Mus musculus: one gene and its partners. The protein of the gene in region 1 interacts with the protein of each later gene in a pairwise test. Links are inferred from orthologs where the notes say so. Each region holds a gene or a part of one and is shown in the gene's direction. Other genes may lie near its edges.

Region 1 (4,476 bases):
TAGTGACCAAAGGGGAAAGGCCCCTTGTGGGTGGGACCATCTCTGGGCTAGTGGTCTTGGGTTCTATAAGAGAGCAAGCCGAGCAAGCCAGATGAGGCAAGCCAGTAAAGAACATCCCTCCATGGCCTCTGCATCAGCTCCTGCTTTCTGACCTGCTTGAGTTCCAGTCCTGCATCCTTTGGTGATCAACAGCAGTATGGAAATGTAAGCCGAATAAACCCTTTCCTCCCCAACTTGCTTCTTGGTCATGATGTTTGTGCAGGAATAGAAACCCTGACTAAGACAGGGCACCTCAGAGCTGTTGAGAAATTCCATCACATCCCTCTCCTCCTAGAAGAGACAGGATAGAGAGTACGTAGGCTGGAAGGAAGGGGCTAATTAAGCCCTTACTACCTCATTCCCTAAAGACCAGCCAATTTAAAGGGCACACTGTCCCACCAATCATAATGTGCCTAGTTGCTGATGCTCTATTCCACCCCTGGAAACCATATAAAAACTTATGGAACAGGCCGCCTGGGGTTGCCACCTCTCCTTCAGGTGTCATTCTGAGAATGACAACCTCAGAATGCTGGAACAATAAATTATTCTTGCTTTTGCATCGATCCCCAGCTCTGAGGGTCCCCCAGTAAGCTAAGGCTCGTCAGACTCTTACAACACAAGAGCCTGTCTTTAATAAGGGAGAGGGAAGTGTATAGTGAGATTGTTCATTGGGTAAATGTACTTGTCATCAATTCTGATGACTCAAGTTTGATTTCTGGGACCCATATGCTGCAGAAAAGGAACTGACTTGTGGGGGTGTCCACTGTCCTGTGACCTCCAGGTTGCACCCACCACTCCCCAAAGCAAATTAGTGTGGGGTTGTTTCTCTGTAAAGGCTGAGCAAGAACAAATATGGGGCAGACATGGGTCAAAAAGTTCTCTCTCGGCCGGGTGGTGGTGGCACATGCCTTTAATCCCAGCACTTGGGAGGCAGAGGCAGGCGGGCGGATTTCTGAGTTTGAGGCCAGCCTGGTCTACAGAGTGAGTTCCAGGACAGCCAAAGCTATACAGAGAAAAGCTACAAAGCTATACTGTTTTAAAAAGAAGAAGGAGGAGGAGGAGGAGGAGGAGGAGGAGGAGGAGGAGGAGGAGGAGAAGAAGGAGAAGAAGAAGAAGAAGAAGAAGAAGAAGAAGAAGAAGAAGAAGAAGAAGAAGAAGAAGAAGAAGAAGAAGAAGAAGAAGAAGAAATAGAAGAAGAAGAAAAGTTCTCTTTCTTGGTCTGGCATTCCATTTCTGAATCATGCACTCTCTAGGAGGGCCGGGATCACTGGCTAAGCCTGTGGAGGAAGAGATGACACCAGATCTACAGATCTATCCAGACCTTGCCCCCCCACTTGGGGCCATCTCTCCCAAAGGCTAGTTTAGACTTTGTTTCTGTTTGGAAAAAGGTCCCAAGCCAGAACATGGAGACCAATGTTCACAGGAGCCTTCCCAGTGACAGCAAGTGAGCCCCATACCATTCCTAGCCACCCCTTCCTGAATGAGTCAGGGCCACTCAGTCCGGGGACAGCTGTGGCTCACCTTACATGAGCTAAATTGGGAACTGGAATGTCACACGGATGCCCCTTGTGTCCCCACCCCCACAGTAATGTTAATCTCTCTAGGGAGGAAGGGACAAACAGTGCTGCCCAAAGAGTGACCAAGAGGGTGGTTTGGGGGGACAGGAGGAGAATTTCACAGGGCAAGATAAAGCTACAAGCGCCTGGTGAGGGTTCTGAGCAAGGAGTGTAGACAGAGTGTCTGGAAATAGACAGGGGTGAGAGGAGCTGTTAGGGGAAGGGACAGGACTCTTCCAAGAGGGAGCAATAGCCGGGATCCCAAGAATCCAGTCAGCCTAAACTGACCGAGGAAGGGTGCACAGGCAGGGGAGAAGGCCAACGACAGGGCCACAGCGAGGCAGGCTCCAGAGCGCCGCGGGATGAACTTCACGGTGGGTTTCAAGCCGCTGCTAGGGGATGCGCACAACATGGACAACTTGGAGAAGCAGCTCATTTGCCCCATCTGCCTGGAGATGTTCTCCAAGCCCGTGGTGATCTTGCCCTGCCAACACAACCTGTGCCGCAAGTGTGCCAACGACGTCTTCCAGGTGGGCTCAGGGAGGGGTGGGTTAGGTCACAGAGGGGGATGGGGTGGGTGCCCTCCGCTGGGAGGGAGGGGCTGAGAGGTAGGAGAGTCAGCGTGAGTCAGCAGCTGCCCTGAGGCTGGTTAGCCCGACCTGAGTCTATAGCAGCCAGGACCTGCAGAAACTGGAAAGGAAGAGAGTGGTCTTGCATAGGCTTTGTAGGAGCTTGGACTAGATTTCATTCATTTTAAGGCTTTGATTTTTTTTTTTTTAAAACTCTGGAGAAGAAATCAACGATATATTGAGATGTGTGTGTGTGCATATGTGTTGGCTAGTGTGGCTACCAGGCCTCAACTTGAAAACATAAATGATGGAAAGAGAGAACTGACTCCCGAAAGTTGACCTCTGACCTCCACTTATATGAACACAGACAAACAAACAGACAGACACACACACAGTTTAAAATAATAACTGGGAATGGTAGTGTATACCTGTAATTCTGTAATATTCAATATAAATTCAAGACTACCCCAGACCTTCCCCCTTCAAAAGGACTTTCCAGACTGTACTAGCAGGCCAAGTACAGAGGCAGATAAAAAGCTGGCTGACTAAACAAATATAGAAATATAGTTTTAACGGTCAAAATTACTAAGCTTCCAGAACAAGTTTAACAATCCCCCCTGTCCCGCCTCACACTAAAAACCTCAAGGACAGACAAAATGAGAGTCACCCTATACAAACCAACCAATGTCTAAAAAGGTTATTGGCTACACCAATTAAAATAAGCCAAACTACCCTGGTGCCTATATCCGGCCTTTACCAAGGTATAAAAAATGTGTTCTTTCTTTGTTCTGGGTCTCTTTCCGGCTTGCGTGCTGAGAGGGGGTTCCCCAACATGTTGGATAAGTAAAATCCTCATGCGTTTTGCAATGATGGCGGCGGTCTCTGTGGTCTTTGTGAGTCTTTTGTCAAGCTACACTAATTCCAGCAGTTGGGAGGCTAAAGCAGGAGGATTGTCATCTTTTGGTTTTGTTTCTGAGACAGGGTCTCTCTATGCAACCCCAGCTGTCCTGTAGCTCACCATTCAAACCAGGCTGACCTCAAACCCACAGAGATCCTCTTTTTCTTTTTTTTTAAAGAATTATTTATTTATAACATATGTGAGTACACCATAACTCTCTTCATGCATACCAGAGGAGGGCATCAGATCCCATTTCAGACAGTTGTGAGCCACCACGTGGTTGCTGGGAATCGAACTCAGGACCTCTGGAAGAGCAGTCATTGCTCTTAACTGCTGAGCCATCTCTCCAGCCCCACAGAGATCCTCTTGCCTCTGCCTCCCCAGTACTGGGATTAGAGATGTCACCACCATTCTGGAAATCAATTGTCATTTTTAAAGTTAACCTTGATTACATAATGAATTCTGGACCAACTTGGGCTACAAAACAAGACTGTTTCAAAAAGTAAATTAAAAAATCTAAAATTAAAAATTGTCGGTAAATCTATGAGAAACCCTTCAATGCCAGCAGAACCGTGTGTATTCGAGGCAGAGCCTCTCTGTCCATGAGGGTCTGATTAGACACTGGGCCAGGGCAGCAGGGGTCTCCCCAGTTTCACTACTGTGATCCTTCCTCACCTGGTAAAGACTTAGAGGGTAGCTGATATTCAGGCAACTTACAGACACCATAACTCTCTTCATGCATACCAGAGGAGGGCATCAGATCCCATTTCAGACAGTTGTGAGCCACCACGTGGTTGCTGGGAATCGAACTCAGGACCTCTGGAAGAGCAGGCAGGCAGACAGACAGACAGACAGACAGGCAGACAGACAGAAGGCAGAAACAAAATTGTACTTCCCAGAAATGCCTGGGTATCTGTGGTCATGAGGCCAAGCACAACTAGGTGAAGTCACCAGGACTATTTTGTCCACACATTTCAAAAATAAAAACAAAAGATCTGGGCTCAGTGGTACATGGCTGCAAACCCAATCCTTGGGAGTTTAAGGCTGGCTTGGACTGCAGGAGACCCTGCCTAGCCAGCTAACTAACTAACTAACTAACCAACCAAATAAATAAATACATACACACCAGAGTCCTTTATACGTTCACAGGCTTGCTTTCCAGCTCTGTGCCTTTGGTGGAGCTCTGAGTCGGTTGTGACTGGATCAGAGGTCGGGGAGAAGGAAGGAATAGAACTCACATGCACAGACACGGGACCTCGCAGATATAACTTGGCTCTCTTGGTGTTGCAATCTGTGATAGGAAAATCAGGAATATGCTTCCTGCCAGGAGACAGGCTCTATGGCACATGCCTGGGATCCCAGCGAGGAAGGGACATCACAAGCTGGAGGCTAGCCTGGGCTATGTAGCAAGTAT
Region 2 (4,431 bases), on another chromosome or scaffold:
GCTCATTGCTTACCTTGGCTGCTGTGATCCTCCAGGCTGACCCTCCAGTCGTCCCCTTGGAGTTCAGCATGCAATTCCGCATGGACTCCAGAGATGAGGCCGGGCTCCTGCTGGGGCCGCAGGGCCACATCACACAGGTCGGCCCTGCAGCCCAATCGATAGGTGCAGCCAGACTTGGACGGGGGGTGGAAGGTGTAGAGGTCACCGCCCCTGCCGCCCCCTATACGCAGCAGCTGGAAACAGGGCAGCATGGGGGGTGCCCCCTCTGCACCACTTTGCCCACCTCAGAAGTCCATTCCCTCTCCTACTCCTGGGTCATGCACCGTGGGCTTCAATTCAGTTCTCTCTGATGTCAACAGCTAAGTATTGTGCCTAATGCCAACTTAAGCAGTGCAGATTCAGAGCGCCAGAGGCCTGGATATGCACCAAGACAGAGGCTGTCAAGATGAGGTTTAAAAAGCAATTCCAGTAAAGTCCTGATGCGATGCAAAACCAGGAAGACGTCTTGTGGCACCTCAGTGAAGCCGGATCCTCAGGCGGCTCAACATCCGGGAGCCTCCGACAATCTGTGCAAGGCAAAGCTAGTTTAAACCGCAACTGGGAACAGGCAGAGGGGGTGAAGGGGCCCTGGTACACAAACGTGCGTGTGACACGGGTCTTCTCCCTAAGTGTAACCTGGAGTCAGGGAATTTATGGTTAAACTTTCTAATCCAAGTAGCGCACCCCTTCCATCTTTCCCCCCCACCCCCGCTCTTCGGATCAGTTCCCCTAAGGGAAGTGAATCCACTGTCACCCGCAAAGGGCGGCGCAGACGGGTCCCTAATTCTGTAACAAAGTGGATCTCACCCTTTCTTTTTTTCGCTCGCGGGGTAAACTGAGGAAGGGATTCCGTACCCTGCGTCCCGCGCTCCCGCCGAGGTTTGACAGCCAAGGAAGCCGCCCCGAAGGCGGGGCTTGGGTGAAGGCGCGCGCGCGCGCTGCGCAGACTCCTCCTTCGGAATTCCCGGGTCCGACTTCGCGCCCGCGAGCCCGCCCCCCCGCCGGCTGCTTCTGATTGGCCATCTGAGTTGCACCCATTTGCTCTATTGGCCGATGCGCAGGGGGGAGTTGCTCATCTCCCGCTCTCCGCCACTTCTGATTGGCCGGCACGTTTTCCCGGGTTCCCGGGGAGAGGAGGGGCCGTCAGGGCGCGGAGAAAGTTTGGGGCGTCAGGGTGCCTGCTTGCACCTTTCTTCTTCCTATTTCCGGTAGGGAGAAATGGAGCTGTAGAGCAGCCCGCCGCCCCGCGCATGCGTGATCTGGGTGTGGCGTCTAGACTGGGTGCTAGGTGTAAGGGGCGTGGCAAGAGGGCGGATCTCGCGCTGGGTAAGGGGCGTTCGGGGAGAGTCAGTTGGGGGCGGGAAGAGTCTGAGAGGGGGCGCAAGGGGGGCGGAGGGGATCCACAGGGCAAGAGGGGTGCAGGAGCTGGGTCAAAGGATAGATGAGGAGGTCAAGACAGCCTCAGAGTTCAGGGTCCTGACGGGGATTAGCCCGGGGTGTGTGCGGGAGAGAAGTGGGGGAGACAGGACAGGGAGCGACCAAGATAATTCCATCGAAAAAGACTCATACTAGGTCTAGGAAGAGAAACGGGTAGGAATCGCGGGGGTTGAGTGAAAAAAAAAAAAACCCAAAAACTTGAATTCTGATGGAAGTGGGGGAAAGAAGATGCTGTAGGACTCCGAAGAGAGATGCATCGGGAATGGAAGCCGAGGGGATAGAGAGCAACTGAGGCCCGTTACAGAGAGGCCCAGATGAGTTGCCAGGAAGCTGGCTTCCCAGCAACGGGCTCCCGGCTGCTCCGATTCCTCAGGGATCCTAGGGAAGACGCTTAACCCCACATGTGGCCTCATTCTTCCCGGACCAGGCCTTGGGCTAACTCTTTAATAGGAAATGACTCAGAAATCCTGGCTCGATGGTGCCTAGATGGGCTTCCCAACGGCCCTACCATTCCATGGCAAGGACTGTGGAGAGTGGGCTCCTTATACTGTGTCCAGAGAGTCCTGAGCTGCAGGGACCGTAGACACTTAAGGAGGAAGGTAAAGGCACACCACCCACATTCCTGTAAGTAGAAGGAAGCCTCGTCTCAGTAAATTTACCTTAGGGTTGTTGCCTGGTTCATTCTATCAGGAGCGTAGTTGGGACAAGCAAGTGGTTTGGTTACCGTGTGCCTTAGGGAAGTAGGAAAAGAGAAGCGTACAGCCCGATAGACCTGTCAGTAACTTAAGGATTATGACTTTGTTTTTATAGGGCTTTTTCTTTGGAAGGTGGCCTGAAAAATTGAATTGAAGTATCCTTGTTTCTCCTATTGTCCAGGGGAACATAGGTGACTGGAGACAAGAGCTACAGGATTCATATAACAGGAAGATGTTGCCACCGTCAGGTCAGTGAGGCTAGTCAAGGAGACCAGGATCATCTCCCTCTTCCCTCTCCCCCTCTCTCAGAATCTGACAGTCTTTATTCTTGTGACCCCCTCAGGTTTTGCTGGGCTGGTTCCTCCCTCCCACTTCCAAGCTCGGCCCCTTCCAACTCTGCCAAGAATGGCCCCGACCTGGGCTTCAGACGTTCCCTTGGTCCAATCTCCGGCCAGCCAAGATGTCTTAGAGAGACGGCTAGATGCTCAGAGGTCGACAGTGACCACGTGGGGACAGGATTTCTGTGGAGATGGGCAGGGGCTAGGGCGGAGAGGCAGGTAGGGATCTGCCAATCACCTCTTCCTCAGACTGACACATGGTCCTTCATACACGCATGCCTTCATTTCAGCCCCTGGTTCTATAACTTGTGTGGTTTTTCTATAGGCCATTGTTGGCCCCTACGACGCATAGACCACATGCGTTGGGGTTAGTGAGAATAGATGTTTGGACTTAAATTCTCATTACATAAGGAATGTAAATGTCTTAAGGGAGGGGATAAGTTCTGCAAAAGCTGTTTTAAAGCAAAATGACGTGCAGCTTAGACATGCTGACCCAGTTCTCCAGAGGCATACTGGCTCCTTTTGGAGTAGTTAAGCAGGCCTTTACAGGAATGTGCAACTGGAGCTGGCTATGCTCTGTGAATGTGGTTTTATTTGTTTTTTTTTTTTTGTTTTTTGTTGGTTTTTTGTTTGTTTGTTTTTTCAAGACATGGTGTCTCTGTATAACCCTGGCTGTCCTGGAACTCGCTCTGTAGACCAGGCTGGTCTCGAACTCAGAAATCTGCCTGCCTCTGCCTCCCGAGTACTGGGATTAAAGGTGTGCGCCACCACGCCTGGTGTCAATGTGTGTTTTAAGACTATTAAAAAAAATTTTTTTTAAGGTTTATTTAGTTTTATTTATAGGAGTACATTGTACTCCTATACACACCGGAAGAGGGTATCAGATCCTATTACAGATGGTTGTGAGACACCGTGTGGTTGCTAGGAATTGAACTCAGGACCTTTGGAAGAGCAGTCAGAGCTCTTACCTGCTGAGCCATCTCTCCAGCCCCTAAAGAACTCTTAACCTCTGCTCCAACTCTCCAGCCCTAAGAATTTTATTTTTGAGCTTAGTATGGTCTGCCTTTAATCCCAGCACTAGAGAGTCAAAGGTAGGCAGATCCCTGAGTTCAAGGCCCCAACCCTGGTCTAGAGATTGAGTTTCAGGACAGTTAGGGCTGCATAGAGAAAAACTTGTCTGGAAAAAACAACAACAAAGACTTTATTTATGTGTGTATGATTGTGTGTGAGCATTCATACTTGGAGGCCAAAAGAGGGTGAAGGATCCTCTGTAGTTGGAGTGACAGGCAGCTGTCAGCCTTTGAATGTGGGGGGCTGGGAACTGAACTCAGGTTCTTTGCAAGATCAGCAAGCGCTCTTAGCACCCCGAGCCGGCTCTCCAGCCCCTGTGGACATTCGGCTCTGTGTGAATGAGCATTCTTACTTCTGTTTCGTCTGTGTCTTTCCCCCAGTGTCCTGGGGTGTCATTCTGTCAGAGGGGCATGTTAGGAGACAGATTGTAAGGAACTGTGGCAAGTCATTGCTAGCCTCCAGTTAAAGGAAATCCTGCCATTCTCAGGGACAGAGATGCCTCTGGAGCCTCCACATAACCAATTCAGATATGCAGACGCCTCAGACTCCCTGTGCAATGTACCAAACACTCACGGAAAAAGCCCGCACCAAAAGAGCAGGGTGTAACAGTGAGTGCCTGTAATCCCAGTTACGCCTGGGAAAGAGTCTTAGAGAAGACAGATGCCAGCCTGCTGACATAGTGCAAGGTAGGGAAGTCCCCTGGCAACTGAGAAATCAGGAAGGGAAGTGGAAGACACCATCGGGAAACGTGAGTGACTTTGTCATCATAGTCGTCTTTTTCTTCTTCTTCTCCTCCTCCTCCTCCTCCTCCCTCCTCCTTCTCCTCCTCCTCCTCCCTCCTCCTTCTCCTC
Region 3 (3,816 bases), about 9.8 Mb from region 1:
GTACCTACTAGTATAAAGTGTTGAAAGTACTATATATACCTACATATGTATATATAAGTATGTACATATTATACATACATATATATGTGACTTTTGAAGGTATAACTGTTTTCTTTTTAATATATTTATGTACAGTTTTACAGCTAGTCTCAGTATGATGCCTATTATAAAGGAAAACACACATCCAAACAAATGGACAGAACTACACTTTAAAACACTGCCTCAGTCTCTCACAAAATTCCAGAGGGTTCAGGTCATGATGTTTGTCGAACTTCCTGTAAGTCCTCTTCATTGCCCTCTGTAAGCACAGAGCTCGACTGGCTGGGCAGTGCAGGCTGCAGTCACTCCTCCTCAGTAGTCCTCCCCCAATTATCCCCCCTGTCTGTGTGGACTATTTCGTCCTCTCCAGTTCTTCTGAAATCTTAAGTATCCCCTTGTCCTAGTTGATGGGAATCACTCCAGCTGGCCAGGGGGTGCTTAGGAATCTCCTGTTCTCCTCATCTCTACAACAAGTTAAGAAGAACTGACAGATGGGATGGAGTGGGGCTCAGTCTCATCTCGTGGCTTTTGGTGGTGGTGGTTTTGATAGTGTAAGATAGAGTCTTACTATGTATTGCAGGCTGATCCTGAATTCATTTCAACCCTACTTCCTTGGTTTCCCAAATGCTGGCATTACAGACATGAACCATTACACCTAGCTTTCTGGTTGTTGTTAGGGTTTTTTGTTTGTTTGTTTGTTTTATTTCTCACATGAATTTTTACATTTCAGCGAAGATATAGTGAGATTGTTAAGGAAATCAAATCAAAGGACCTTGAAATCAGGCTATACAAGAAGAGAAAGCATGAAATTCATAGGAGGTAAAAAGAATTTGGTAAAAAAGAATCACGATTTAGTTATTTGGGCAAAAGTGTTACTTGCTTTTTAATTTTCAAAAACCATCTCATGTTTTCAGACTCAGAGAATTTGCCAGCTTGTATGATACAATTAGAAATGAAAGAAACAAATTTGTAAACCTACTTCACAAAGCTCATCAGAAAGTAAATGAGATAAAAGAAAGACTCAAAATGTCATTAAATGAGCTGGAAATCTTAAGGAACAGCGCTGTCTCTCAAGAACGGTAGGAGTCATAAGCACCCACGCTTGCTTAAGGGATCGGATCAGGTTACCTGATGGGCCGGCTGGAGGGGCCACGGCAACACTGAGGCTGTGACAATCTGATTGAGACCAATCAGATGTTTTATACATTATCAGAAACAGAATCTAGTGGCAATTTCCAGGATCGATACAATTGTAGTTGCCAGGATACAATGACAGTTGCAAACTTTAGAGAGTATTTAATGCTAATGCCTAAGATCAGTTGTCCTGTCAAGCTTCCCTGCTTCCTTGACCTTAAAGGAACGGACGGAGACACACAGAATGTTTGTTTACTGCCTGAGCGAGTGCATGGCCACTCAGGAACAGGAAGGCATGTTGTACCCCCGGAGCTGTGGACTCTAACCAGAAAAGCCTATGACACGTGCCTCCCAAGACAGCTAGGCCAGGCCAAGTCCACGGTTCTCTGAAGCTTGTGTCCTTCTAAAGCCTTGTCTTCTATGTCTCTGGCACTCTAGACTATCCTGGGAGTCTTCAGAGATGGGGAAATACCTTGCTGTAGATGGTGGTTGGGAAACCTTGATTTAACCGGAAATCTGTGTTTGTTGACACTGAAGGTCCTTGCCATCAATTGGTTTTTGATACATCAATAAAGTTGCCAGTAGCCAATGACTGAGGGGCAACATAGTGAAAATTGTGGGAGTGGAGTAGGATGCAGGGAGAACTGGGGACAGGGGTAGGGGGTGGAGGGCAGGGCAGACTAGGAAGAGAAGAAGGGGATAACAGCAGGAAAAAAAGGCCAACCATGGGAGTTTTAAGGTAAGTGGCCACTTCCCTGGTTGGGCCTGGGAAGATTTAGGAGTGACCAGTCATTGAATTAGCCAAGGTGCTCAAGCGTGTGTGCTTGTGTGTGTGTATGTGTGTGTGTGTGTGTGTTTTCTATTCGCTATCTCAGATCGTGTGCACCCGGCCAGGAGCACAAAGTCATGTAGACAAAACTACCTGCTCCACCTTGCTTCTCAGGTAACAACCTAGGTGTCTGAGCATCCTTGCTGTTCTCCATCTAGTAGTCACAGTTTTTAATGAATGCAAAACTTAATATAAAACTATTTTTCCTAATGATGAACTGCTGACTTTCATTGCTCGATTGAGAAATGAAGCATAAATCTGCTATCTGCATTTGAAGTTAGGAGACAAATCACTTCTTGGATAGCATCCCCCGGTTGTAGGTTTAAGGCATGTGATGTGCATATGGAGAGGCAGGCTACAGCAGATCTGCTAAGACAACGCTTTCTAGACTCAACTCACAGCTCTGTCCGTCTCTGTCTGTAAGACCTTGGGCGAGATACTCTACCTCTCAGGACCCTTTCTTTATAATCCTCCTCATTAGTGTGTAGAACCTTTTGTTACTACACAATAATGACAAATGAGTTTGTCTATGTAATAACATCAGAAATAACACCTGAGAAATTGTAGTCTTGGAAATATATTGTTTACCACATGCCAAGATCCACTGGAATCTTCCACCTACTTGGTTCCTGATTTCCTGAGACTACATAACTGGATTTTTCTGTTAGCCATCATTGCCCAGATGACTTAGATAAAGATAATATCAAATACCCTGATTAAAAAGCACGATTGAAAAGGGAAATTCCCTAGTCAGATTCTTACCCAAAAGGAAATTAGAATACCGTATGATATCATCCAACCTGACCCATGTGAGTCTGCAGATCCAATAGGCATTGTCAATAGAAGCACCTCTGTCCTCAGAACTCGGTCTCCTGAGGTGACAGAGCAGAAAAAGACCTTTTCACAAACAAGTGTGACACAGTGGTTGACACAATGACAGTATTGGTCACCTGGCTAGAGGAAGGATCCCACAACAGAGAAAGTGTGTCCTGGGAGGTCCTGGGTGAGCATTGCTCTTCAGACATCTCAGTATTCTTGAAGAGAGTAATGATCTTCCCCACTGTGCCATTATTTTAAAAGAAAGCTACAAAACGCCATGCTAAAGCATTCCAACAATGTGACCATCAAGGAGAGCATACAGAACGATGTGTGCAAAATCACTGCTAAACTCCAGGAAATGAAGGAGAAGAAGGAGGCCCAGCTGACCAGCATGGACAGGCTGGCCAGCATGATCACCGTGATCGAAGAGGAGATGGTGCAGCTGCGCAAGAAGTATGAGAAGGCCGTACAGCGGCGGAATGAAAGGTAAGGGTCGCAAATGTGGCTGGGCTGAGTGCCCGGGACCCTACTGAGAGGTAGCCATGTTCTTTACCCTTCGGGGGGAGCCATGGGTTTCCCATGAAGACAAGACAGGCTGCCTGTGGAAGGGAAATAACAGGGAGGTTGGGGCAGTTGAAGAACAAAGTCATCTCTGAAGTGCTAGGAGAGTGGTTCTCAACCTTCTTAATGCTGTGGCCCGTTTATACAGCTCCTCAGGTGTGCTGACTCCCCAGCCACAAAATTATTCCGCTGCTACTTCATAATTGTAATTTTGCTACTGTTATGGATCATAATGTAAATATCTGATCTGTGACCCGATGGGGGTCCCGTCCCACAGGCTGACAACCTGTACTCTAGGCTCACACTGAATTCCTTCTGCATCAGCTGCTGTGAGTCACTCTCTGTAACCTCGCTCCATCTGAGCAGGACTTGGCTTTATCAACCTATTCTCATAGTTCATTTTCCCCACGATTAACTAAGGCATAGAGGACTGA
Region 4 (3,816 bases), on another chromosome or scaffold:
CTTATGATTTATGTACTTTCTCATTAGAAAGACTGCAGCAACAACAACCACCTCACAATCCCTTCATGAGCAAGTCCCCATGCCCCCTAAGCGACCCTTGTTACTGCTCCTCTTGAAGCCCTGGACTGAGCAGTCAGGCATTATTGCACAGACTCACCTTCTCATTTTCCTCCCCAAAGCCCTCTGAAATGTGAGCACTTAATCCTCATTAAAACATGAAAAACGCCGGGCATGGTGGCAGCACTCGGGAGGCAGAGGCAGGCAGATTTCTGAGTTCGAGGCCAGCCTGGTCTACAGAGTGAGTTCCAGGACAGCCAGGGCTACACAGAGAAACCCTGTCTCGAAAAACCAAAAAAAACAAAACAACCAACCAAACAAAAAAACCAACCAACAAAACATGAAGAACCCCAACGCTTCTGGGGACAGGTACACACATGCCACCTCATGGAGGGGGCTTCAGGACAATGCCCAGGAGTCTGTTACCTCCTCCTGTCAGGTGGGTTCCGGGGTCAGGCTGTCAGGCGTGATGGTAGATGCCTTTTCCTTGTTGAGCCATTTGCTGACCTCCGATTGCCCCATTTCATAAATGAGAAGACCGTGATTTAAAAGCATCCCACCAGCGGGGCTGGAGAGGTGGCTCGTGGGTCACAAGCCCTTTTCACTCTTCCAGAGGCCCCAAGTTCAGCTCTGAGCACCCAGCTGCAGTGGCTCACAGCTGTCTGTACCTCCTGGCACTCTGATGCCCCTGACTGTGCTCATGTGCACGTGCCCACACAGAGACATATACTCACATGCACATGCCCACGCGCAGACACACGCCTGCATGGTTTTTTAGTACAAGCGCATCCTAAAACATCAGTAACAAAAAGCCCACCTGTCGAGCATTAATTTCGAAGCCGTCATGCAGGGTAGGGACCAGGCTTGTTTAACTTGCTCAGGATATGATGCAGATTCCAGGGCAGGAGCCAAGTGGCAGGTGGCAGCTAGCTTCTACTGAATTTGTAGAATGATCTCCTGGTGAGTCTCCTCCTAAGAGAAAGAAGCCGCCGGGCATGGTCGCACATGCCTTTAATCCCAGCACTCGGGAGGCAGAGGCAGGCGAATTTCGAGTTTGAGGCCAGCCTGGTCTACAAAGTGAGTTCCAGGACAGCCAGGGCTATACGGAGAACCCTGTCTCGAAAAAAACAAAAACAAAAACAAAAACCCAAGAGAAAGAAGCCACCTCTGCTGGCCGTCTGTCAGGGATGCTGAAGGCAGCTGGCCAAGGTGGCCTCCAGGCTCCCTTTCCGTGCTGGCCCTGCCCTGAAGAATGATTAGGCCCAAGCAGCTAAGTTTACCTCATGCCTCTTGCTTCATGGCCAGTGCATTGCCAGGATGGCAGCAGGCACCTGGGAATGGGTTGGTGAGATGCCTGGCATGCCATAGGCCATGTGCTGACGTCAGCCGTGAGTGGCACTGGGGGGTCAAAGGTCAGCCCACAGTGGGAGGGGCTGGTAAGAAAGAGAACCTGCTCCTGGCCCCTGAGGCCTGCTGGTAGCTCTGACCTGGTGCCGCTTTCAGAGCAGGTACACAGTCACTTCAGGAGGTACGAGGTGGAGTACCTGCAGTTTGCCTTTCGGTGGATGAACAACCTGCTGATGCGGGAACTTCCCCTACGCTGCACCATCCGCCTGTGGGACACGTACCAGGTATGGAGGGACCCCTCCCTCTCCCAGCTATCCCCGTGAAGCCTCTCCACCCACCTTCGTCTTGTGTCTGCCTTTGGAATCTCTTGAGCCCATGTTCTCTGTCACACAAGAGGTTTTAAGCTGTGAGAGGTTCACAGTTGGGGCCCTGAGGCCTACCTGACTCTCGTTTTCTTTCCCAGTCTGAGCCAGAAGGCTTCTCGCACTTCCATCTCTATGTCTGCGCCGCCTTCTTGATCAAGTGGAGGAAGGAGATTTTGGATGAGGAAGACTTTCAGGTGAGTGGGCAGAAGGGCTGCGGAGTGGCCGCACGGGCCCGAGAGACTCATCATCCACTCATTCGTGGCTGTTGGTTACAGGTATGGCCTGTGAGTCACTACGGAGGCCCAGGACGTCCTGGGAAGTGAAGCGGGCAGAGGGCCGTTCTTACAGCCCACATGCTGAGGGAAGACAGGCAGTAGACAAAGTCACGGGGGTGCCAGAGGTTCTGGGGTTAAGTACACACTACCGCAAGGCCCAGCAACCTGTGTGGATCCTTAGCGGTAGGAAGGGAGGCTGCACATTCAAAGGAAGCAGTCAGGATATGCTCACCAAGAAGGCGACATTTAAGCAGAGGCCTGAGGAGGGTGAGGGAGCAAGCCATATGGCCACTGGGGCAGAGGGCGTGACTGACCTAGAGGCTTTATGTCAGCTGTGTGCCTGGCAGTTTGAGGGGTTATGAAACGAGGCCTGAATAGGTGGCCAGAGGAAGAGCAGAGCAAGCTAAGTCAGAGAAGGCAGGTAGGGCAGGAAGTTGCTGTGAGCGCCCAGCTGTTCCTGGCAGGTCTTAGGAATGGAGTGGGTACGCCCTTGAAGGCCACTCTGCTTCTCTGTGCAGTGGCTGGAGGTGGGGAGTGTGGGCACAGCAGCCACCCAGGACACTGCTGTCATTCTCCAAGGGGTCTGGCTATGGGTAGTGACAGCAGAGGTGTACATGGCCGTGTTTGGGGTCCTTTGTATCCACTGCCCAGGCTCTTTGATGGGCTGTGTTTGGACTGTGACACAGAGAGATGGACCAGAATGACTCCGGGATGGAGGCTGAGGGGTAGGGGGTAGGGAGTTCGGGGATTCGGTGTTGGGAATGTTGGATTTGAAATGTCAGCTAGGTGTGATGGTGCCTACTGTAATCCCAGCATTCGGGAAAGTTAGAGGGAGAGGTTAGGGGTTCAAGTATATCTTTAGCTCTTTTGCAAGCTTAAGGCCAGCCTAGGCTACACGAGGCCCTATTGCAAAAGAAGAGAAAGAACTTTATGCATACAAATAGAGATGCCTAGGTAAATAAATGTACAAATGTTAATGTTGTGGCTCAGCTTCTAGGAGCCAGGGTGGACTAGACACATGAACTTAGAAGCCTTTGGTTTAAGGGGCAGGAGAGATGGCTCAACAACTAAAATGCCATTTGCAAAAGCAGGTGGGGCCTGGCTTGCCAGGCCTGAGCCTTGGGAATACCGGGTATCTGAGTTGGCAGTTAGAGGCCTAGATAGCCCTCTGCTGCCAGTCTAGGTCCTAGAAGAAGCAGATCAGTGAGCAAGCAGGATTTTTGGGGAGAGGGATTATGCAAGAGTCCGTGAGGGCTTGAAATGTCCACTTCCCTTATGACGTCAGGCCTCTTGACAGCTGGCCCTGCCCTGAACTTGACCCCAGACTGAACTTGCCTGGTACTCAGAGCTGATAAGAAGAAGCAGGAGCAAGGGGCTCAAGGCCTAGGGATCGCAGTCCTTTTAAATGCATATAAGAGATGGTTTATCTATCATCTATCTATCCATCTATCTATCCTGTTCTATCTATCTATATATATAGATATATAGATATATCCATCCTCCCTCATGTAGCCCAGGCTGGCCTCAAACCACCCGTGTAGCTGAGGATGACGCTGAACTTTTTATCCTCCTCCTCCTCCCTCCCACCACCAAAACTCCCAGAGTGCAGAGCTGCAAGTGTGAACCATCAGGCTTGGGCTGGTCAGAGTTTAATACGATTGTGCAAGGCCACAGGTGTCTTAGACCTCAGCCACAGAGCTCAAGAAGACAAATCCACCCTCCCCTCCCCTCCCCTCCCTTCGTTTTCTTTTCTTGTATAGAATAGAGTTTAT
Region 5 (3,816 bases), on another chromosome or scaffold:
ACTCCATCTGCCTGGGTGCCTGGAGACACACCCCTGCCCTTCAGAGTGCAGTAAATGAGCCTGTGTTTTTATTCTGTGCCCATTGTGGGTCAGTCCTGGCGTTGAGTAAGCGCTCAGGCAGCTCCTCAACCAGAGCCTCACAAGAGAATTAAAACTTCACACACAAAGGCCTTTATCGTGTGCAAAGCATGAACCGCCCTCCTGTGTCTGGAACGGTACAAGCCATTTCTTGTTTCTGTGGTTCCAGTAAGGATGCCTAAGATATGACCGTGAACAGGATGGAGCTAAGGGGGTCACTGCCTGTAGAGGACTGTGGTGTGGGTAGGGGGGAATAGAGTGGGTCCGTCTAGGGTCGGGTGGGCCATGGGAGGATGTAGGACCAGTGAGCAGAGGACTAAGGAAGGAAAGAAGCAGCACGGGGGAGGTGGGGGCTTCAGGTGAGGCTTGAGTGTGCAGAGAGGAAGCCATGGGCCGCGATGACTCACAGGTGGAGAGGCAGGAGCTCAGGGAAGACCCTGCGGCTCACGAGCTGAGCGCCTGGCAGGATCTAACGTTTCACCAGGGCCCACCTGGAAGAACTCGCTTGGAAGAATATCCATTTCAATGTCACTTTTTATTTGAAAGTAAGTTCAGACTTACAGAAAAATGATGGCCCATCAGTTGTCAGCATTTGTTTTATTAGTTTATTTGCATCCTTATGGTGGCACGGAGCCACGGCCCGGGGTGTTCACTTAGAGCTCTTGTTTCTGTTCTGTCCCCCGCACTCTTCCCCCTTACAAGCGTCATTTTCCTGAGCTATCTGAGAACAGGTTATAGATACTATATATAATATGTAAGCTATTATATATCTATATATTACAAATAAAGTATAATAATTTCACTCCCTAACCACATAACACAGTGATTGAAATTAGGAAACTAATATTGTATAATACAGTCACATAATTTGTTAAAAAGACAAAGCAAAGAGCAGCTCCATTAATAGATGTGAGTCTAGCTGCAGGTTCTCTTCAGTCTCTGTCAATCTGCTGCGGGTTCCTAGCCATCTTTGCCTTTCCTGCTCTTGAGAGTTTGAATTATATATTCCAACTGTGTTGTAGGATACGTCTTCCCTTGAGTTTGTATTGTATTTCCCATAGGCGGGCCTTCACATCTCAGCATAATCAAGACAATGCCCCATAGACATGCTGACCAGCTAAACCTCTGGGCAATTCTGTCTTCTGTCAGGTCAACAGTTAGCATCGACCATCAGCAACGCTGGCAACTGTCCCTTCCTCGTGGTCTCTGCGTGGAGCTAACTCAGGCTCGCTCACAGCTTAGTGCTTGGTCCTGTGTTGGTGTGCTGGGGCTGCAGTAACCAAGTGCTCAGGGACAAGTGCTGAGGGACAAGGGACTTGAGCAGCAGGATGCTTCCCTGCTGTTCTGGAGGATAGACTTCTGAGCCTGTGTCCTGAGCCTGTGTCCTCGGCCTGCTGGTGGCTGTGCCCTTTGTGTCCTTACACGGTCATGGTGCACAAGGACGCTGGGCCTCTTCCTCTTCCGGAAGCCATCTTGGACTAGGGCCCTCATTTTATCTTAACATTTATTTGATTTTTTATTATTTGTGTGTGAACTCTGAGTGGTCTCTGAGCCACATACTTAAGGTCCTGTGTAAGAGCAGGAAGCACTCTTCACCACTGAGCCACCTCCCAAACCCCAGGGAAGTCATTTTAACCTAGTCCTCCTATAAGTCCTCATCTCCAAAGTCAGCTTCACTCTGGTATGCAGGAAGTGAGGACTTCCACGGAAGACCTTGGAGGGAAGCCAGGAGTGGTGGCGCACGCCTTTAATCCCAGCACTCCGGAGGCAGAAGCAGGCGGATCTCTGTGAGTTCCAGGCCAGCCTGGTCTACAGGGAGAGCTTCAGGAAAGCCTGGACTATACAGAGAAACTCTGTCCTGGAAAAAATAAAAACCTGTTCAGGCTCTAAGAGTGACACACACCAGGAAGAAACAAAGTGGAAACTCCTAATTCCTGGAGGTGTGGGCCTGAAACCTGGCAGTGCCTCCCTTCCTCCGTGCTGCAGCACCGGTTCAACAGGAGGAGACGCAGGCCCATCTCCATCAGAACGTGTGAAACCAATGTCAGAGCTTTGCTTGAAGGCATCTTTTCTTGCCTTGAATGCTGCCCTTGCTGGGAAGCATGGCTCCCTCTTTGTCCTGACCCTGACTACAAATGTGCTTCTCCTCTGGCTTCCCACCTGAGGCTTACTGGCCTCACTCTCTTCGCTAATGTCACAGAAGATTGTTGCTTCTTCATTTCTGTGACAAAAGCTACCTAAAGAGAACAGGGCTTGGGGGTCACAACTTGGGGGTGAACGGCATCATGGTGTCGGGAGCAGTTGATCATGTAGCATCCAGTCAGGAAGAAAATAATAAAATAAAAAAATGAATGCCAGCATTCAGCTTGCCGTATCCTTTGAATTCAGTCTAGGACTCCAGCCTGTGGGATGGAGACACCCACACCTAAGTTAAATCTCACTGGAAACACCGGCAATCAGACCTTCCCAGCGGTGTGCCTCCTAGGTGATTCTAGACCCATTGAAAGGGACAAAAGGGACAATGCTCATTATCACAGCTACAGAGGACTGCTGAGCTGAGAGCTAACTTTCCCCAGGAGCCGATCACTGCAGGAGCCGATCACTGCAGGCTAGCTAGAAGACCTCAGAGGTGGTCCGTGTCTGTTCTACCTGCCTAGTTTTCCTTCATCCCACTACATTCCCCACCACTAAAGTGTATGTACCTCTTAAATGAGTTGCTGTTTGCTTCTCGCAACCAGATGACCACTCTACTGCCCCAGCAGGTGGTTGTTTGAGTCTCTGGCACTTCCCGAGCGCTCAGCACATAGCAAGCGCTCAGGAAATACTTACTGGGTAGATCTACACACAAGCAGCCCTCGTGACTCTGGAGTTCCAAGCTGTCTACCTGATAAACTCATTTTCTTTTTCTAACAGTACAAACAGGCCATCCAGGAGCTTGTGCGCTGTGTGGCACTAACAAGAATTTGCTATGGCGACTGGCACTGGAAACTAGCGGAGGCGTATGTTAATCTGGCTCAGGGTTACCTGCAGCTGAAAGGTGAGCTTCCCGGGCACCAGCCAATGGGCTTCTGTTCTCCCTGTCCCCAGACTTATTCACACCAGAGGGATCAGGGTTTTGTGGCTCTTAAGAAGTGATTGCCTTTAGGAAGAATCATAAAGGTATGTACATATAGGTACCGACAGGAAGAAAGGAAGAGTGTGGTGTGGGTTTTTTTGTGGCCTTATTGGAGTCCTTAGTGGATAATCTGTTGGATCAAAAGATGGCAGGAAAGAAGCCAAGACATGGAATGGAGGCTTAGAGTGGGAGTGGATTCCATAGTTTTCTTGAGAGGGGAATGGGGTGGGAAAGACTCACTCTTGAGTGTAAGTAGCTAAAAATGAAAGGGAGTGGAGGGGGGCGTAGAGGGAGGGAAAGAGAGAGAGAGAGAGTGATTGATTCGCTTTTGAGTGTAAGTGGCCAAAAACCGAAAGGCTAACCCAAGCTGGCATTTGCCTGTACAACTTTAAAGTCCAAGGTGAAACTTGATTAAAAAGAATATCCCACCCACCAAGAGAATCCCAGGACTTTGGAGGCACCACATTTAGACCACACTGGAGTATATATCAAAGTAAGGGTTTTTGGTTCTCCTGTGTACTGAGAAGGGAGCTGGTGTTGGCCAGCTCAGAATGTGCAAGGGTTGAGCATCATAGAAGGAAAATAGAAGGTGGGGATGGATGCAGGAAGGATGCGGCGTGTTC
Region 6 (4,264 bases), on another chromosome or scaffold:
TTTCTCTCCCAGTCTAGAAGGAACTTTTTGACCAGCTTTAATTTTCAGATTCTCTTCACTCCTTGTTCTATGCCCTTGCTGGGTTTATGAAGCATGCTGGCCTGCCCTTATATGGCCGAATCCTAGACTTGGCATTTCTTATTATTTCCTGTATACTTCACTGCAATTATGAGTGTGTCTAAGCTAGCTAAACTCTTTAAAGTTTAATCCTCCAAAAGAGCATGACGGAACTAGGGCATTTTTTGAACACTGCATTGCTTCGGGACTATCAGAGAGGAGGCCTTTCTCCCTTGGTCATGTTTGATTCTGCAGGGCCTTCCAAACAACTGCTTAGCCTCTTCTGCCAGGGCCAGTGCAGCAGCGGTGGACACAGGGATCAGGGGACAGTCTACCCACAAAAGCTGATTGCAGTTGTGGGCCACAGCATTCCTAAAAGAAAAACAGCCAAAGAGCCTGTTAATTCTCCTGGGGAAAAAGTCATTATGGTACCCCCCAGAGCCAGGAATGGGTTTGGGGAGGGAGCCTGTGGACAGAACATCCAAAGTTCCTGTCATTAGGTAAAGGTGTGTGTGTGTGTGTGTGTGTGTGTGTGTGTGTGTGTGTGTGTATTCTCTCTCCGAATACTGGAAAGAACAGAGGAGGGTCATACAAACTGAGACATAAGATCTTAAAATGAACTCTGGAACATGGTGGCAAACAGAGGCTATCTACAGAAAAGACATAAGAATGTTTCACATGCACCCAGTGAAGAGAGAGAGGAACATGGGAAGGAGAGAGGGGGGTAGAGAGGGAGAGACAAGAGATAGAGAAGCATACAGACAGGAACAGAAGAACTTGTGCAAGAACCCTTTATCTTATGGCAAACACCAAGTAAAGAAACACGCTGACAATCCCAAATCTCAGATGTTCGGAAACATCGAGGGGCAGAAAGTCAGCCGGGTCCGGATGAGCCTCAGTTGGAGACCTGACGAGGACCCACGGAGGAAGAGACACGCAGGGGAGTCTAGGGCCACGCCGGACACCGGCGAGTCCCGTGCCCAGTTCTCTCCTGCGGCTCCTTGGTGACTCCTGCCTGGGTTCTGCCCCTGGACGGCCACGGCCTGCCGGTGCTGTGGGTAGAGCTCAATCCCGCGGAGCTCGCTCTTCCCAGCTCTGCCCGGAGCTGCCCCTCCCCCGGGAAGGTGTGTCCCTGTTTCCTCACCTGAAACTTCCTTGGGAGAAGCCGGTCCCTCCCTCCCGTCCGGCGGCAGGGGCGGGCCGCGGGTGGGGCGCCGGGGCGGCCTGGCCTGGCTGGGGACCGCGGCGGGCGCCCGGACCTGGAGGGGACTCTCGGGCCAGCCCGGGGCAGCATGTGACTCCGACCAGGTGGGTGCTCTCTTCTCTTCTGAGCCCCGGACTCTGGGTGGTCGTGGAGCCGGGTGGAGGTAAGGCAGGGGCGGGAAAGAAGAGAGAACTAGGCCTCCCCCGGGACCAGTCCCGGCCAGGTCCCGGGGCGCAGACTCCGGAAATGGGGGGCTGGGCCAGTGGGCCGGGCTCCGAGTGAGGGGCTGAGTACCTGGTCGGGACCGGGAAGGGAGCTGGAAGGAATGGCCTCCTGGCAAACTTTGCTTTCCAACCAGGTCTGAGCCTTGGAAATGGGCACCCTGCCCCGCAATGTTCCCGGGCCAATAATCAGAACTTTTTTCCACCCGGAAAGTCGGGGCCCTGGGGAAAGCTAACTCCTATGATAAAGAATTCTTGAGATTCAGTTTCTAGACGGTTCCTTACCTGGAAGTGTCTTTTTTTTTTCTTTTGTAACCAGGCCTGGGCCTTGCTTCGTTATCTTCGCGGCATTTACATGCCTACGTATGTGTGAATCTATGTACACACCTCTCTCTCCGCTGTTAACTAAGGCTCTGAAATCTGAATCAGGGATCCTTGCCCTGAGTTCCCTCTCCCCCATTTACCTGTGTATAGGGAGTTTCTTGTTGGCCTCGGCACAAGGTTCTAAGGAACGTGTAAGAGAGCTATTCGGAATATCGCGGTGCGGTAGCCCATTTTCAGAGCCCTAGTTTGGGGCATCTTCTATAAATGCCTTTTTCCAGAACTGATCCGGGAGAGCTAGCCCTAGAGCCTCAGTTTTCAAGTCTTCTTCCCCTCCCCCTTTCCTGGATCTTGGGTTCTCTGGACAATCTTGTCCTCCTGTCGGCCTAGCAGTGAACTCTGGCCAGCGCTGTGTCAGACTGAGGGGGAAGGGCACACCAAACTGGAGAGTTGAGAGGGTGGTTTTCCTTTCAGCTTCCTTCCTCCCTTGCTCTCCCACTGTGCTCTCAGCTTTACTTCAAAAGCACCAAGTCCCAGAGAAACAGCCCCCAGTGTGGCCTCTTCCCACACTTCCTGCTTTATCTACACCTGGGGTATGCAAGCTTCTGGCTCTATCAAAACAGTCATCATTTGTTAACCAGTCCTCGGGTCTAAGACAGAACCCATGGACCTTAAAAGGACTTGGAGGGGACAAGGGGGAGGCTGAGTAGAGGACAGACAGCTTCTAAATTCTAAGTTTGTGGTAAAAGAGAGATGTAAGCATTGGGAGGGACAAGTCAGAAGGAATGTGAAGGGGTACCTCTTTTCAAAAGAATACAGAAATTGAAGATGTAGCCAAAGTTTTCATATATCTGTTTTCCCTGGAGGGTATGGCTGCCCATAATGTGGTTTGTCTGAAGTTGTGTGTGGTCACGTTATGGACTTGCCTGTCTTTGGGATAGACGTCATTTGTGGTGTCTGGAATAGTCACTTACCCTGGTGTGGACAGAAGTGCGATCTCCTGAGATAATGTTGTAGAGAATGGTATAGACACAAACAGGTGTTAGCCTGTGTTGTAAACAGGACCCTGTACCTGCAATGTGTGTAGAGTAAGCTGGCCACTTGGAGTGTCTGTAAAGTACACAATGTCATTTGTATGCCAATGACAAACAAGTCACACCTTGTTTGACTGGATGGCCCCATAGTCACTGGTAGGCCTAAGGGCATAAGCATCCTCACTTAAGAGTGCTCTTATATAAGACCACCTGGCCCCTAAGACAACCCATGATATTGTCTAAGACATTGGACAATAGGTAAAAAGGTGCTTATTCCATTCTTTACTGGATTGGTTGGACAAGTTATAACACTGGTGTCATACTATACTTATTTCGGTGTCTGGAATATTGAGGGTAGTAATGTCAAACACTAAATCAAAGTACATATCTATGTGGTGATTATATGAGCTAAATGAAATGAAGAGGGTATCTTTTGGATTCCTCCAAATTCCAAGTGGGAGATTTGTTTTCTTACTGTAGGCAGAAGTATAGATGCCATTGTAAATGCAGAAGCAATCCCAAGAGGTAAGGAAGGGTATCTTTGAAATCCTTTTACACCTGGATAATTAGAAATGGACAAGAGCTAAAGTGTTGGTTGTGGAGTCTCTGTGAGACTGTGGAGGTCTTACTGTGTTCTGCACTGTTCTGTTAATGGGATCACTTGGAGCTTTGTCTATGGGGTCTTGAAGATGTGAAATGTCTCTGGTCTGGAGAGAAACCAGTTCCCTGTGGTGCTGTGCCCTGTCTCTCCCTGTATGCAGATAAATAGTGATTAGTCATCCCAGATGAGAGGGATATGAGGATGTTTCATCTCTTAACGGAATAGGTAGCTTAAAAAAATTCCGTTCTAATGCCTTCATATGAATGTTTTACAGATTTCCTTTAGCTTTATCCATATTCTAGCTGGGTCATGCCTGTTTGCATAGGATTATTAAGTTAGAATTAAATATAAGAACTAACAGTATGTGCTAACTTTGGGGTATAAACAATTAAGTGGCTTTCTTTCTTTCTTTCCCTTTTTCTCCTTCCTTCCTTCTTCCTTCCCTCCCTCCCTTATCTCTCTCTCTCTCTCTCTCTCTCTCTCTCTCTCTCTCTCTCTCTCTCTCTCTCTCTCTTTCCTTCTTCCTGGGTTTTTGAAACAGAGTTTCTCTTTGTAGTTCTGACAGACCTAGAATTCACTTAGTAAACTAGGCTAGCCCCAAACTTAAAGATCTTGCTGGCTCCACCTCCTGATTGCTGGGATTGAAGGGGCATGCCACTACCCTTCTTCTAAGGGTATGATGATATTGGAGAGAGGGTTCCAGACAGTACAGATGCTGATGAGGAAAGATAACAGGGTTTGTCACATAGTTTTCTGAGGCAGGTAGGAGCAAGTTTCAGTGAGCAAATAGGTTATTTAACATGTGGCTGAGAGAATAAGGTCACAT
Region 7 (4,582 bases), about 99 Mb from region 1:
TGATTATTGTGTGTGGATGCCATGATACTTACATGGAGGTGAGTGGGCATCTTTGTTAGTTGGGTCTCTCCTTCTACTTTTTGTTGAAACCATTTATTTATTTTACGTACATTGGTATTTTGACTGCATGTGTGTCTGTGTGAGGGTATTGGATCCTCTGCAACTGGAGTTGCAGACAGTTGTGAGCTGCCATGTGGGTGCTGGGAATCGAACCCAGCTCCTCTGAAAGAGCAACCACCGTTCTTAACCACTGAGTCATCTCTCCATCCCCTCCTTCTTTTTTTTGTCAGGTCAGTTCCAGGATTTGGATTTAGGTTGTCAAGCCTGAATGGGAAACCTTTTACACACTGAAACATCTCTCTGGCCCTCTTTACTTGTAATCCTCTTTCATAAAACTCGCTTTCACCTCATTTGTCTGTGTCTTTCTTTAATCTTCATAGACCTTAAACATCCAACTTGGAGCCACTTCCCTAGGCCAACCTGACCCTGTCTGGCACCCTACAGCCTTGTGCCAAGCACAGCTGGGTCATGAAAGATCCTTTTATTCTCACAACTCCTGCATCATCATGTGCTCTCATTATAAAGCTATACCCCACAACCTTCCTTATATTTGCCCAGGCCAAGAACACTAGAGATGGGAACTCCTGAACTTCCTGTCTCCACCTAGCCAGGCTGGGATCACAGCCTAGTTGCTATTGGACCAATTTCCTTAAGATTCTCCTAAATTGAATCAGTTTCAAGTCCTGCTCTTAAAAAGAGCAAGCCAGGAGTGTTCATTTCTGTGGGCCATCTGCCCAGGTGACCAGGTTCTTTCTATGGACGAGTGCCCAGGAGTGAAAAACAAAATAGCAGAGTCAGAAAAGGTGAAAACAGGCATTTATTGAGACAGGGGTTAAAAAAAAAATTCTGCTGGGAACAGTGTTTTGTTTTTGTTTTTTGTTTTTTCCAGAGCTGAGAGCCAGTCTCACGGACTCTGGGTTGCTCATTTGTAGGGTTCATTCTGAATTCTCTCCTCCCCTATCCTATAACTTCATCTCCTCCACCCCGACGGTTCTTGGCCCAGGGAGATAACAAAAGCTAGTGAGGTGGCATGTCAACTGTCCAGTGGGAGCGTTATCTATCTTTACAGACAGGCAGTCATGTGCTAAACTTTTCCCTCTCGATCTTTTTCCTGACTATCTATTCCCTGCTAACTGCTCACTAGGGGAAAGGTGTGTTTGTATTTCCTTCTGGCGGCCGCATTCGCTAAGCGCTGGGAGATGTCTCCTGGTCCCAGACTTTGATGTCCCGTTTCGTGTATGGCTGTCCTCGGGGCTCCTTGTCGCCCTCAGGCTAATGCAAGCAGAAGCTGGTAGACGGAATGAGGAATGACAGGGGAAACCGCGGCTTCTCGCGAGTCACAGACACGTCAGCGAGGGCCTCACGGTCACTCGGTGTCCCCTGCCCTCAGGGACTGCCCCTTCGGGTGGACAGCCTCCGGAGCGTTGCAATCTTTTCCGGCCAGCCGCCAGCCAGTCCCCGGAAGTCCGAAGCGTCACGGAAATGACGCCACGCGTACGCACCGCGCGCGTGCTCGCGGTGCCGGGGGCGGGGCGTGCGGGGGCAGGGGCGGGGCAGGGAGCCGAGTGACTGAAGGGGCGCTGGGAGCGGCGGTCGGACGCCGGCGGAGCCGCGGAGCAGGTTCGGAGGGACGGGGGCTCCGGAGGCGCGTTCCCACACGGAGCGGGGCGGCGGCGGCGGTGTCCGGCCGCGCGCTGACCGGGGCCGCTCCGTTCCGCCTCTCAGCCGGGAGGGCGGGCGGGCGCATAGGGCCAGGCCGCCGGAGCTCTGCTGCTGCTCTCGGCCTCTCCAGCTCGGCCGAGTTCTTCCCAGCTCGGCGGGACTCGGGCTCCCGGGAGGACACGCTCCCCGGTCGTCGGCTGCCGCTCCGATCCTGTCCGAGTCCGGAGTTGTGGTTGCAGCCGGGCGGGTCCCATCCGGAGCCCGCGTGGGTCCCGGGGCTGGTGCGGCTGCTGTGGCGCGGGGTTTTGAATACTCGTCCCAGGTGCTAGAGGCCAAGGTTATGGGTGTCTCTGAATGAGAAGTCCTGAAGCTGAGGCAGGAGGATTGCCGCGAGTTTTGAGGTCAGCCCTCTGCCACTGAGGAAGACCCTTTTATGGAAAATAATAATAAAGGCAGTCCCTGATTCCGAGCTGTCTGGAAGGGAGAGCCAAGGGGATGTCCTTCCATCCCTTCGCGGAAGTTGGCTCCATAGAGGGAAGCGCCTTGGAGACTAGGTCATTGGCAGCTGGCTGTGTCTCAGAGCTGATGACCAACCTCTGTGGTTGGGAAATGTGTTGCTGGATGTGGTAGGCTCGGTCTGTCTGTGGAGTTTAGATGTGACACTGGCATAAGTTTTACAGCGTCACCTAGTTTTGTGGTAAGAGCCCCTATGGTCCCCCCACCCCCTGCCACCTCCTGGAAGTTAACTGTTGGGTCTTTTAACCTACAAACCTAGAATTACTTTTCAAAGGAAGACCCAATTAGTCACCCACTTCTGACATCCCAGTATTTGGAAATTGAGTCAGGAACAACAGTCTTGGGAGTTTTGACGTCAACGGGGCTATGTAGTGAGTTTGAGGCCAGCCTATACTACAGAGTAATATTCGATCCTCCCGCCCACCAGAGTCGCAGTTAAAAGAAAGAAGAGGCTAAAATAAAATGGTCTTGTCAAGCTTGTTACTGGGCGGTGGTGGCGGTGGCTCACACCTTTAATACCAGAATGCTGGAGGCAGAGACAGATCTCTATGAGTTTGAACAGGCCTGGTCTACAGAGTGAGTTCCAGGACAGTCCAGGCTACATAGACTGTTTTGGGGGGAGAAGAAGCTTGCTTGTTACTTGGTGATGACTGACTTTAAGGTTTACACATGTTAGATAGGGGCTGTTTAACTGAGCTACAGTCCCAGTTTCTATTCAGCCTCTGAGAGTTACTGTTTGGGGGGATTATTTATTTATTTTGATTTGTGTGTTTATTTTGGGGGACAGGGTCTCGCAATACAGCTTTGGCTGTGTAGATCAGGCGATCAGGCAAGACTCTGAACTTGGAGCATTCCGCCTGCCTAGGCCTCTCAAGTGGTGAGATTGCGGGTGTGGACCACTGCCTTGCCTGTCTTTTCTTTTGGTATGTGTGTTCACAGTGTGTGCATGTGGAGGCCAGAGGTTAGCAAATGTTAGCTATTTTCCTTGGTGTCATACTAGCCTTGACTTTCATTGAGACAGGCTCTTAGTGAACCTGGAGCTGGATTCACCTAGACTACTACTAGCTAGCCCACAAGCTACAGGGAACATTTTTTTGGTGTGGGGACTGGGGACCTGGTTCAGGTTCTCATGCTTGTGTGGCAAGTACTTTATTTTTGCCATTTATTTTGCCCCAGCCCCCCCTTTTGCCTTTGATGAAATGAAGTTGGAGTTTATTAAGAAACAGTTTTATTATAGAATTAAACCCCGGCTTTAAGGAAGAGAGAGACACTTTAAAGGACAGTATACCTCCAAGACATGTGTGTAAACTTCTTAAGAGTCTCCAAGATTTAGTGGTTCCTGATCAAAGGGTTAAGGTGCAGCCAGGATTTGAATCTTTACTTGCTTACAACATCTTGGCTGGAGAGTTAGCTCCCTGGTTGAGAGATCTGGCTGCTCTTGTACGGGATCCTGGTTTGGACGTGGTAGCTCACAACTGTCCAACTTCCAGATCCAGGGGATCTATGCCCTTTTCCAGGCTCCAGGGGTGCCAGTTTGCACATGATAGTGGACAGTAGAGATCCTTAAGGTGTAAAATGTTTGCCTAGTTTGCACCAAGGCCTTGGGTTTTATCCCCACCACGACAGAGAAAGAAAACAAAAATCTCCCACAGAATTTCATCATGGTGTGTGCTAGGCTAGAGCCCTGAGGATCAGAGCACCAGCCAACCTTTTGAAGTGTGGAGGATGGAAGAAGGGACCAGGAAATAAATACCTTCCCAAAGTGTTGAAAAATGTGTAACAGTTCAAACCAGTGAGCTGGAGTGGGAATTTTGGAGGCAGGTGAGTGTGTGTGTGTTGGGGAGCAGTGACCAGGAGAAGAGACCACCCAGCTACGTGAAGAATGCTGAAGGGCAGAGATGCCTGGGTGTGGGGCTTTTCTGTGCTGGTGACAGAGCCACGGGAGGGTATGAAGCAAAGTCATCCTTAGGTTAAGATAACTTCTAAGCAAACACACACACACACACACACACACACACACACACACACACAGAGGCTGCTGTATGGTTTAAGATGATTGTGTCCAAGGTAGTTCTGGGTTAGGGACTGTCTTTCTTGGCCATCTTTTCTGGTGATTAAGTATTTGAATTGAATCGTGTACTCATTACTAAGATTGACTCCCACTAACAGGAAATCTACTTTTATCTCTCCACTCTCAATTCATATTGGGTATTTATAGGTTCCATGGGTACTTGCTGACTGTGTGAGAGTAATCCCTGGACTTCTCCCAGTCTTTGGCTAGATACCATAGATTTTTTTTTTGTTTTGTTTTGTTTTTCAAGACAGGGTTTCTCTGTATAGCCCT

What was found.
Region 2: the proteins of Trim54 (region 1) and Cchcr1 interact in binary tests that used the Homo sapiens proteins (3 or more experiments, as listed by UniProt). The link is inferred for Mus musculus from reciprocal best matches to the Homo sapiens genes TRIM54 and CCHCR1.
Region 3: the proteins of Trim54 (region 1) and Ccdc146 interact in binary tests that used the Homo sapiens proteins (3 or more experiments, as listed by UniProt). The two-hybrid records come from large-scale screens. The link is inferred for Mus musculus from reciprocal best matches to the Homo sapiens genes TRIM54 and CCDC146.
Region 4: the proteins of Trim54 (region 1) and Tbc1d22b interact in binary tests that used the Homo sapiens proteins (3 or more experiments, as listed by UniProt). The link is inferred for Mus musculus from reciprocal best matches to the Homo sapiens genes TRIM54 and TBC1D22B.
Region 5: the proteins of Trim54 (region 1) and Ttc23 interact in binary tests that used the Homo sapiens proteins (3 or more experiments, as listed by UniProt). The two-hybrid records come from large-scale screens. The link is inferred for Mus musculus from reciprocal best matches to the Homo sapiens genes TRIM54 and TTC23.
Region 6: the proteins of Trim54 (region 1) and Arhgef5 interact in binary tests that used the Homo sapiens proteins (3 or more experiments, as listed by UniProt). The two-hybrid records come from large-scale screens. The link is inferred for Mus musculus from reciprocal best matches to the Homo sapiens genes TRIM54 and ARHGEF5.
Region 7: the proteins of Trim54 (region 1) and Rabgef1 interact in binary tests that used the Homo sapiens proteins (3 or more experiments, as listed by UniProt). The two-hybrid records come from large-scale screens. The link is inferred for Mus musculus from reciprocal best matches to the Homo sapiens genes TRIM54 and RABGEF1.

Annotation. Positions count from the first base shown.
Region 1 is NC_000071.6:31,114,953-31,119,428, forward strand, and holds the start of Trim54 (tripartite motif-containing protein 54), read left to right. Parts: upstream 1-1,659; 5' UTR 1,660-1,957; coding exon 1,958-2,125; intron 2,126-4,476. UniProt on the Homo sapiens protein: May bind and stabilize microtubules during myotubes formation.
Region 2 is NC_000083.6:35,515,865-35,520,295, forward strand, and holds the start of Cchcr1 (coiled-coil alpha-helical rod protein 1), read left to right. Parts: upstream 1-1,388; 5' UTR 1,389-1,877; coding exon 1,878-2,075; exon of another isoform or gene 2,076-2,100; intron 2,101-2,286; exon of another isoform or gene 2,287-2,352; coding exon 2,353-2,419; intron 2,420-2,514; coding exon 2,515-2,728; intron 2,729-3,277; exon of another isoform or gene 3,278-4,328; intron 4,329-4,431. Other genes in the region: Tcf19 (transcription factor 19-like protein), read right to left, coding at 14-251. UniProt on the Homo sapiens protein: May be a regulator of keratinocyte proliferation or differentiation.
Region 3 is NC_000071.6:21,302,555-21,306,370, reverse strand, and holds part of Ccdc146 (coiled-coil domain-containing protein 146), read left to right. Parts: intron 1-769; coding exon 770-858; intron 859-953; coding exon 954-1,118; intron 1,119-3,082; coding exon 3,083-3,307; intron 3,308-3,816. UniProt on the Homo sapiens protein: Essential for sperm flagellum biogenesis and male fertility.
Region 4 is NC_000083.6:29,598,279-29,602,094, forward strand, and holds part of Tbc1d22b (TBC1 domain family member 22B), read left to right. Parts: intron 1-1,560; coding exon 1,561-1,688; intron 1,689-1,867; coding exon 1,868-1,963; intron 1,964-3,816. UniProt on the Homo sapiens protein: May act as a GTPase-activating protein for Rab family protein(s).
Region 5 is NC_000073.6:67,664,172-67,667,987, forward strand, and holds part of Ttc23 (tetratricopeptide repeat protein 23), read left to right. Parts: intron 1-2,991; coding exon 2,992-3,115; intron 3,116-3,816. UniProt on the Homo sapiens protein: Participates positively in the ciliary Hedgehog (Hh) signaling.
Region 6 is NC_000072.6:43,264,379-43,268,642, forward strand, and holds the start of Arhgef5 (rho guanine nucleotide exchange factor 5), read left to right. Parts: upstream 1-1,265; 5' UTR 1,266-1,365; exon of another isoform or gene 1,366-1,424; intron 1,425-4,264. UniProt on the Homo sapiens protein: Guanine nucleotide exchange factor which activates Rho GTPases. Strongly activates RHOA. Also strongly activates RHOB, weakly activates RHOC and RHOG and shows no effect on RHOD, RHOV, RHOQ or RAC1.
Region 7 is NC_000071.6:130,170,215-130,174,796, forward strand, and holds the start of Rabgef1 (rab5 GDP/GTP exchange factor), read left to right. Parts: upstream 1-1,604; 5' UTR 1,605-1,680; intron 1,681-1,776; exon of another isoform or gene 1,777-2,076; coding exon of another isoform or gene 2,077-2,123; intron 2,124-4,582. UniProt on the Homo sapiens protein: Rab effector protein acting as linker between gamma-adaptin, RAB4A or RAB5A. Involved in endocytic membrane fusion and membrane trafficking of recycling endosomes. Stimulates nucleotide exchange on RAB5A. Can act as a ubiquitin ligase.